2 linked regions of the Saccharomyces cerevisiae S288C genome follow. The protein of the gene in region 2 interacts with the protein of the main gene of each other region in a biochemical or structural test. Each region holds a gene or a part of one and is shown on either strand. Other genes may lie near its edges.

Region 1 (3,593 bases), on a different chromosome or scaffold from region 2:
TAATTGTTGGGATTCCACTGTTGGTAAACGCAATAATATTAGGTATACAGAATATACTAGAGGTTTTTCTTCGAGGATCTTGGGATCCAAAATAGGGAATCGGTATTTCTGCATAATATTGCTATTATTTCTCCTTCTATTTTACATGCTTCATTATCCTATTACATTATCTAGCTATGCAATTCAGCTCTCATTAAGTCTAATGACTGTTTTTCAATTGTTGTATAATCTTCTTATACCTCATTTGATAATATAGCAATAATATAAAATAGTACTCTATAGGTTATAGGAGTCTTAATACAATGAGCGCGCCATTATCGTTCTGTAAAGTAAATAGTCATTCACATAACGAGCTAATAAAAATCTCCAGATGGCACACATAGTGTATGGCAACATCAATGAGAAGAATAAGGTCTTCGAGGAATAAATTGTTCTAATCATGACAAAAACTACATAACAGAAGACTGAAAGACTGCATTAAAAAAATATTATTAGCATGAACACTAGTCAAAAAATGACACTAAGATTTCATTCCAACACTACATTTTTTCGGAAAACGTTTTATTGAAGTACTGCTTTATGGTCAGCACGTATCGCTTCATATATGATAACCTTACACAGTATCTTTCCGAAAAATCATGAAACGAAGTAACACAGCATCAATTTCTGTGAGAAATAGACAAAGATGTTTCAAAAGTTCCAACATATAGTGAGCATCGTTCATATACCTCGTACAAATCAAATTTGTCTCTTGGAATACCGAAAATTAGCCGCTCAAACACTCTCCGTTGTTAATGACAATTACACCATAGCCGCTGCCGTAGAAAATGCACGGTCTTCCGTGACGAGAAGATTCGGGGGCGAATCGCATAGATCGCTCTTTCTCCTCTTTCTCAATTCTGTCTTATCTGTATTTATAACATGAGCTCATAAACAAAGTCCCTGTTTATATATATTGATGACTTATATATCTTTCGCTTCAGCTTCTTCCCTCATTTCTACTTAATATTATCTTTTGAAATTAGCGCGATCAATTGCATTCTTTTCCACACCACCTTCAAATTTAAGAATTCATATTTGAATCGAACCGTATGTTTTACCTCTCAATAACTTGTTTCATTAATAGCTCCTTCCACAACCACCTTCATCTTCTCTGATTTGAATTATTACCGACATGAATGTTACTCTCCTGAAAATGTTAATTATATCAACTTAACAGGCCTTGAAAGTGAAGTGTTATAGTTTCTCTTCCTTTGTTTTTCCCACTTTCTTTTTTTTATATATATCTTATATTGGTTTAAGCACAGCGGATTGCTTTCTTCTAATACAAGAACTAGAACATAGGTCCACCCGTGTGATGTTGCATTCTGAAATGTTTAGTTATCTCTGTCAGAACAGCGAGGTAACACTTATTTTTGTTACGACCAATCCGTAATTCAAGCGTGGGTATTCATATGACCAGAGATAATAATACAGCGAATACTATTGAAATCGTCCCTTTTTTGTTTAGGAAGAACGGACAAATCGGTCGTCTGCTCGAAATGATTAGTAGTGTGTCACCCGGATCAGCAAAATGACACACACGAAATACGAGGAAAAAGTCGGTCGAAAGGGGCAAATGTTATTATAAGTCCCTCCAGTAGTCTTTTTTTTTTCAAATATTCATCATCAAAGGTTACGAAATCTTTTGAGCTATCTTAAACATTCGTTCTTTTTATCAAATTTCAATTACTAACTTATTTTTTCAAAAAAAATTGCCTCTCCCGGTTTTTAATCATTATTTTTTTCGATTGATTAAGGGGGAAAAGCAAAGAACGAGAAAACTTGGACAGAAGGTTAATACTCTGACAATTTCAAAACGAAGTAAAAAGAAAAATTATCAAATCAACAAAAAGTACCCGTTACAACAAAAAAAATGTCCCAAACTCGTGAAGATTCTGTTTACCTAGCTAAATTAGCTGAACAAGCCGAACGTTATGAAGAAATGGTCGAAAACATGAAGGCCGTTGCTTCATCAGGTCAAGAGTTATCTGTCGAAGAACGGAATCTATTGTCGGTTGCTTACAAGAACGTCATCGGTGCTCGCCGTGCTTCATGGAGAATAGTTTCTTCGATCGAACAAAAAGAAGAATCAAAGGAGAAATCTGAACATCAAGTTGAATTAATCCGTTCTTACCGTTCTAAAATTGAAACTGAATTGACCAAAATCTCTGACGACATTTTATCTGTGTTAGATTCTCATTTAATCCCTTCTGCTACTACTGGTGAGTCTAAAGTATTTTACTATAAGATGAAGGGTGACTACCACCGTTATTTAGCTGAATTTTCCAGCGGAGATGCAAGAGAAAAGGCAACCAACTCCTCTTTGGAGGCTTATAAAACCGCTTCCGAAATCGCCACAACTGAATTGCCTCCAACTCACCCAATTCGTTTAGGTCTAGCTTTGAATTTCTCCGTCTTCTATTACGAAATTCAAAACTCTCCTGATAAGGCTTGCCACTTGGCCAAACAAGCCTTTGATGATGCTATTGCTGAGTTAGATACTTTATCTGAAGAATCATACAAGGATAGCACTTTGATCATGCAATTATTAAGGGACAACTTGACCTTATGGACCTCTGATATTTCTGAATCTGGTCAAGAAGATCAACAACAACAACAACAACAGCAACAGCAACAGCAACAACAGCAACAACAAGCTCCAGCTGAACAAACTCAAGGTGAACCAACCAAATAAGAGCGCTGAGAAATACAAGGGGAAATGAAGATTTACCACTCCAGTTTTCTTGCTAACGAAAATGAATGCAATTCGATTTTGATACTTTTTTTAGGGGAAGAGATAATATCTTCGTCTAATACAAATTCACAAAATTTTCAATTTTACCAACTACAAAATATACAAACCTCTAAAAAAATAGTTTCTTAATATATAACATAAAATAGTTTTTCTGTTACTATTACTTCTATCACTGTTTTCTTCGTGTATTCTTATATTTTGGCTATCGTTCAGAGTTGAGACAATTTGCGAGAGTAATTGAGTAGTAATTTTCGTATGTTTTAAAATAAGTTCCTTCCATTGTATACGCACCTCTTTCTTCTGTTTTCCTTTGAATCTTGATCTACCTTACCTATTGAAGGTGAAGGCATCTTTTCTCATTTGATGAAACAGCGCTCCCTGGGTGTAGGGGGGCGGGGGTATAGTAGCGTAAATCCGCAACGGAAAAATACTTCGAGTGGAAAACTATGACCATTAATATGTATGTCTTACAAGAGAGGACAATAAACAAAGTCAAATAACCACAAGGGATCACAAACGAAAGGATGTCAGTTATTCCTCCAAAATTCTTCAAGATTGCAAATATATCAATTGGCTGCATAGACATTATTGCTGCCCTTTCACAATTGACGTATATTTTCACCAATTTAAACGTCTTCCTCTTGGCAGTTTACGGACTGGCACTCTCCGTACCTATCGTCTATCTGGAGTTCAAGGTTCCGTCAAATCTTTACAGGTATGCTTCCTTTTACTTTAGTTTTCTTGGAAGGGGTTTATCTTATATTTTACTAAGTCTGATAATCAGCTTCGGCGGTAT
Region 2 (5,771 bases):
CGTCGTTCCGCCCAAGCCGTTCATCACCCACAAGATCCTGTTATCTTCAACGGGAAACTCTGGCGGCCACGTGAATTCAAATTACAACGCCGACCACAGCATTAATCATAATTCAAACCACAACCTTAACAGCAACGTGAACGTGAACATGAACTTTACTATAAATGGGAGCAATCAAGACCCGTCATCTTCTTTCCTGATGGGGCCCTACAACTACTTACAGCGGCCTTTCATTGTGAAACCATATCTTGATCTGTCCACAAGCACAGCAGCATCAAATCAGCCACGGACGCAACCATCGCCGGCAGCACATATCACTAAGAATTCCGATTCTACAGAGAAAAACGCAACCATATGACATTCATTTCCAGCATACCACTAAAACATTCGTATATGCCACATAATAACTAGTTGAGAAAACCATAGATATTTATATTTATATGTATTTGTACTTCTTTGAGCAATGTATATTTAAGACTGATCTCAACTTCAGCAACTGTTCAAATTCACTGTTTTTCCTAATTAAGCACAACATGAAAAACTAGAATTTTAGAAAGAAAAGGAAAAAGAATACCAGATGGTAGTTAATTTCTCACAAAAGCACTGCCAGGTAAAGGTATACAGCAAGGATGGACTCTCTTGAAGCTAGATTACAATTCATTCAGGTCCTGAAGAACCTGCAAAAGACGCTGCACAAGACCAGAGACTCTATCACATCATCGTCGACCACCACACCACCGTCATCGCAACAAAAGCTGAACAATGACCCTATACAGTTCTACTTGAGAAACTACAGACATCACTACGAGGACTTCCACCAATGTTTGTTCGATACAACCATGAAGATGGACCCACTAGATAGACTGGACGTAGTGATATACTATGTTAGAATAATAAGAAACTTATATCCGCATAGCCATTCCAATACCAATGTTACAAAAGTGTTAAACGAAGTGCTACTCATGGACATAGACTTGGTTTTTGAGCTTTGTCTGCCCTGCCAGGACTGGAAATCCCTCACGAATCAAGCCACCTGTAAAGAGCTATTCCTTGACTTATCCAAACTAATCCATTACGACGCCACCAGCGTCACGCACACACCATCAGACACCACACTCATAGACGCTACTACCTGGTACAGTGTCAAGACAGAGAGGACTACAAAGGACTATAAAGAATCATTGCAACGAACGGAGTCTCTGCTTAAGGACAGAGACTTGAAGAAATTGGCTTTCTTTCAGCAGTTCAATTCCGATACAACTGCGATCAACCCGGACTTACAGACGCAGCCAACCAATGCAAACATTTTGTTGCACAGGATGGAAGCAGACAGGGAACTGCACAAGAGGTCGAAAGAGACAAGTTGGTACATCGAAAGGCCCTCCAACGATATACTGGATGAATCCGAATTTAAAAGCTTGTGGACGCATTTTGAAACTACTGATTCCGGATTTGATAAGGACGATTACAAAAATATCAAGGCTTTAAATGACATTGCGAAGGCATCTTACATATATTAGTACCATGACGTTATATATATATCTGTGAAGAGAATCCGTATCTGTATTATATATACGTATATACGTATCAATGCGCGTACAAAATGAACTTGTCTTTTTCTTATCTCGATTTCAGGAAAAGCAAACTATTCAAGGTGAAACGGCGGCTAATTTTCCTCTAAGTTACTTTTATTGTAGTCCTCAACATGTGCAGACGAATAAACTTAACACGGTTTGCAGAGTGTGTTGTTGAGTATAAAACAGTCAATTTCTGTGGACCTGGCCGTAGCCTATTGCTGAAAACACACAAAAGAGGAGTTTGACGAGACTTAAAACAAGCCAAGGAAAATACCATGTTAGACTACTCCCTTCATTCGATGGTTTTACGCCGCATTTCTACACAAATGAATTTACATTCGGGCTGATATGGTTGCTACATAAGCGAATTTAAAATTTGAGAAGGTTCATTGTTGCCTTGTGGTTCGAGCTTAAAGATCATAAAGAACCGCGGGGAATTTGTCTAGTTACAAGCTGGAAAGGACTGAGCAGAGGAAGAGCATTCGTTCACAGAGAGGTCCACGATAGAAAAGTGCCAAGAATATTACTTCTTTCACATCAAAAATGTGTGACGGTTCCTTTGCACGTTGAAGCGTTATCATTTTTTTATGTATATACGGCACCGGTTTTTCGCCTTTTCCTGTTCGTATATTTATAGTCGCCCCGCCATTGCTCGCCCTGTTCCTGGTAGTCTAGGCTCTTTGCATTTCTCTTTTGGTGATTTTTATTTTTTATCTGCCGTTACCAATTAAGAAAAATTTCTGAAATCGTCCAACAGATATGCGTAAAGCAAATATTGCAATTATCATTTTGTGCATAACTTACCAATAATTGATTTCTGTTTCTGTAGGATTTCTCGACAAGAATCTCAACTTCTTACCCGTTTTGGCCAAGGACTTTGCAACTGAAGCAGCAGATTTGAGATATATTCTGGGGAACAAAAGAAGTATTAATGACTTTTACATTCTCCACTTCATCAAGGAAAAATGGGAGACCTCCTTTAAAATCAGTTTCTACGGAAGATAACATTCATCTATTGAGGAAGCGGCGTCAACAGCAGCTGTCAAGTAATTCTACAGATAATTCGCTGCATCCAAATAGTGGGCAGACTCCACGTGCAAGTGACAGCCAGGACGATGACATACGCAGCGCTTCAACAACCAATTTAGACCGTTTACGACAAGAACGAGAGGAAAATTCACTGGAAATGGACTGCACACAGTCAAGATTATCTCATAGAGCAAATATGCTAGTGGATGTCCTACCATCTTTTGAGATGTATAATGCCTTGCACAGACACATACCTCAAGGAAACGTTGATCCCGATAGACATGATTTCCCCCCTTCTTATCAAGAAGTTCGCACTCAAAGAATGACTATATTGCCCAGCAATGATAATTCCGTGGAAAGGTCACAATTGACAGCAGTGCCAGGATCCGAAAACGCATGTAATAATGCGACTGCCCATTCTCTTACCAACCTACATCCTCTACAAACACAACATCTTACAATAAACAGTACAAGAAGTGGTGGACAGTCGCTCCATTCTTCATCAGACACCAATATCAGTCAAATACCGTTCGAAGATGATCTAAACGACTCGGATAACATTTTTATAGACAAGTTATACACCTTACCCAAGTTATCCACTCCTATCGAAATTGATATAAGAATAACGAAAACTGCATCAATACCTCATGAGCGTCCTGAGGAACAGTCAATATTGAAGGAATACACCTCGGGTGATATTATTCATGGTTATTGTTTAATTGAAAATCGGTCCTCTCAACCACTGAAATTTGAAATGTTTTATGTCACTTTAGAAGCGTACATATCTGTAATTGACCGTCAGAAAGGGAAAAGAACGTTAAAGAGATTTTTAAGAATGGTCGATTTGAGCGCATCTTGGTCTTATACAAACATAACCCCAAGTACGGGTATTAATATTGTCCCCGGTGAAAGGGATTTTGACGATGCCATCATTGGTCTTTCAAACAGCAGAGAATTGAAGCCGAACACAAAGTATAAGAAATTCTTCATGTTCAAGCTTCCTACACAGTTATTGGACGTGACTTGCAAACAAGAGCAATTCTCACACTGCCTTCTGCCTCCCAGCTTTGGTATCGACAAGTATAAAAATAATTGTAAATACTCTGGCATAAAAGTAAATAGTGTCCTTGGCTGTGGGCATTTAGGTACAAAAGGTTCACCCATTCTGACACTTGACATGGCAGATGATAATTTATCAATAAATTATACAATTGATGCCAAAATTGTCGGTAAAGATAAAAGAACATCTAAGCTGAATATTATGAAAGAAAAAGAATATAACTTGAGAGTTATGCCCTTCCCCTTTGCTGGTGTCACTAATCAACAAAACGAGAAAACGTGTTTGAGACAACTGAAAAATTTGGAAAGCTTGATTGAAGATAGATTTGAAGCTTTGAACAAGATTTTCAAGAAACTGGAATTAAATGAGGCCATTTCGAATGTAGATATTCATGACACAGATATAAGCGGGACTTTGGACGGTAATGAAGATTTGGATTCCGATGAGATATTAAGACGTAAGCTAGATCAACTGCACATCAATAACAGGATTGATGATACCGCCAGCCAATCACCATCCTATGACTCCAAAAATATGGCTCCAAAGGAAAACCTAGTCGAGACTGAGTTACGCTATAAGTTTAAAAATAAGAATAAATCAAATTCAAGTTTATTTTCTCATTTTTTGAGTTCATCAGAAACGGGGTCATCTTCAACTGGTCCACATGTATATAATTCCGGATTGATTGTATTATCAGTTAAAAAACCGCAATCTACATTACCTTATTGGTCACCATCATTGTTGAGAAAAACCAACAAATTTGAAGCAAAGAGTGAACAAGAAAAGGAAAACTGGCAAAGGTTAATGGGCATGCTTCCAGAAGGAGTGAAAACCCCACTGACCAAGTTAGATGTACATTTGACTTGTATCCAATCTAATAATAGTGCAGGACATAAGCCGCCAGAAATAAGCTCTGTAACGACAGAATTTGTGGTCATCACAGCAAAGTCTGATAATTCGATTCCTATCAAATTCTGCACTGAACTGTTGATGAATGAGAATAGATTAAACAAACTAAAGACAAAATTTTTGACGTATCAGAAAAAAGTTCATGAATATCGTAAAAAATTTGAAGAAAACCATGCGAAGCTAAACGAGCTTTATAATAGAAATAGAGATCATTTCACTCCAAAAGAGCTTTTGTTCACAAATTTCATATCTGATCAAATAAACAATGATATTGACAGTTTAGCTGGATTAAAAGTTAACATTATTGATTTACATGATATCTTCAAAAAGCAAATACATACTTTTGAAGAAGAAAACGAGGATATTATTTCGAAGAAAGGAAGTTCCAATCCTCCTTCCGCGTCATCCAGTAATAATAATTTCTTACAAGCAACATTTAGCAATGGTGCATCCACCGCTACTAAGTTTACTCAGCAAATTGTGCATGAATGGGAAAAAGTTAAGCCATTACAGTATAAGAGGGATGTTACAGTTAATTTGAAGCTCAACCCCAACATTAAAGAAACGTTAGTGCCCAATCTTGAAACGTGTTTGTGTTGTAGATTTTATTGTGTTCGAGTAAACATCAAATTTGATAACCACTTGGGTTCTATGAAAGTTGATATTCCGGTTGATGTGAAAAAGTTACAAATTTAGACCATACAACACTAACAGTAATCTCGCAGTTTTACAAATAATTGATAAAAGCAGGACTATTTTTTAACCATTTAATATACCTATTACTATTAATATCATTAATATTATTATATTATGTACAGTCACTTATTTCTTTTTTTTTTTTTCTTTCTTTCTTTCGTTCTATTTCCCCCTAGTATATACGAATTCTGCACATCACAGCAAAATATATGGCTATCACATGGCACAGGTATTACTAAAGAAGAAGAGAGACAGAAATAGTATAGGCATGTTTTACTAGCTTCGATTTTCTTGACAAAAAAAAAAGGAAATTTGTTCTATTTACTTTAAACTTTAATGCCCCAATGGATGGCACATATACCAAAAGTTAAACTTTCGTAGCCAGCAGATTTGAATCCTGCCTTCTCAATCATGGATTTGAACGTTTCTTGGTCAGGAAATCTTTCGATAGACTCCACCAAATACTGGTAAGAGTCGTAGTCATTAGCAATCATCGAGCC

The links. The genes of interacting proteins can lie anywhere in the genome.
Region 1: the proteins of BUL2 (region 2) and BMH2 form a complex in vitro, tested with the Saccharomyces cerevisiae proteins (one study listed by BioGRID).

The regions. Positions count from the first base shown.
Region 1 is NC_001136.10:651,692-655,284, forward strand, and holds BMH2 (14-3-3 family protein BMH2), read left to right. Parts: upstream 1-1,915; coding exon 1,916-2,737; downstream 2,738-3,593. Other genes in the region: TVP15 (Tvp15p), read left to right, coding at 3,322-3,593.
Region 2 is NC_001145.3:44,434-50,204, forward strand, and holds BUL2 (ubiquitin-ubiquitin ligase BUL2), read left to right. Parts: upstream 1-2,508; coding exon 2,509-5,271; downstream 5,272-5,771. Other genes in the region: DAT1 (Dat1p), read left to right, coding at 1-358; CTK3 (Ctk3p), read left to right, coding at 630-1,520; COQ5 (2-hexaprenyl-6-methoxy-1,4-benzoquinone methyltransferase), read right to left, coding at 5,598-5,771. UniProt on the Saccharomyces cerevisiae protein: Component of a RSP5 ubiquitin ligase complex which specifies polyubiquitination and intracellular trafficking of the general amino acid permease GAP1 as well as other permeases such as PMA1.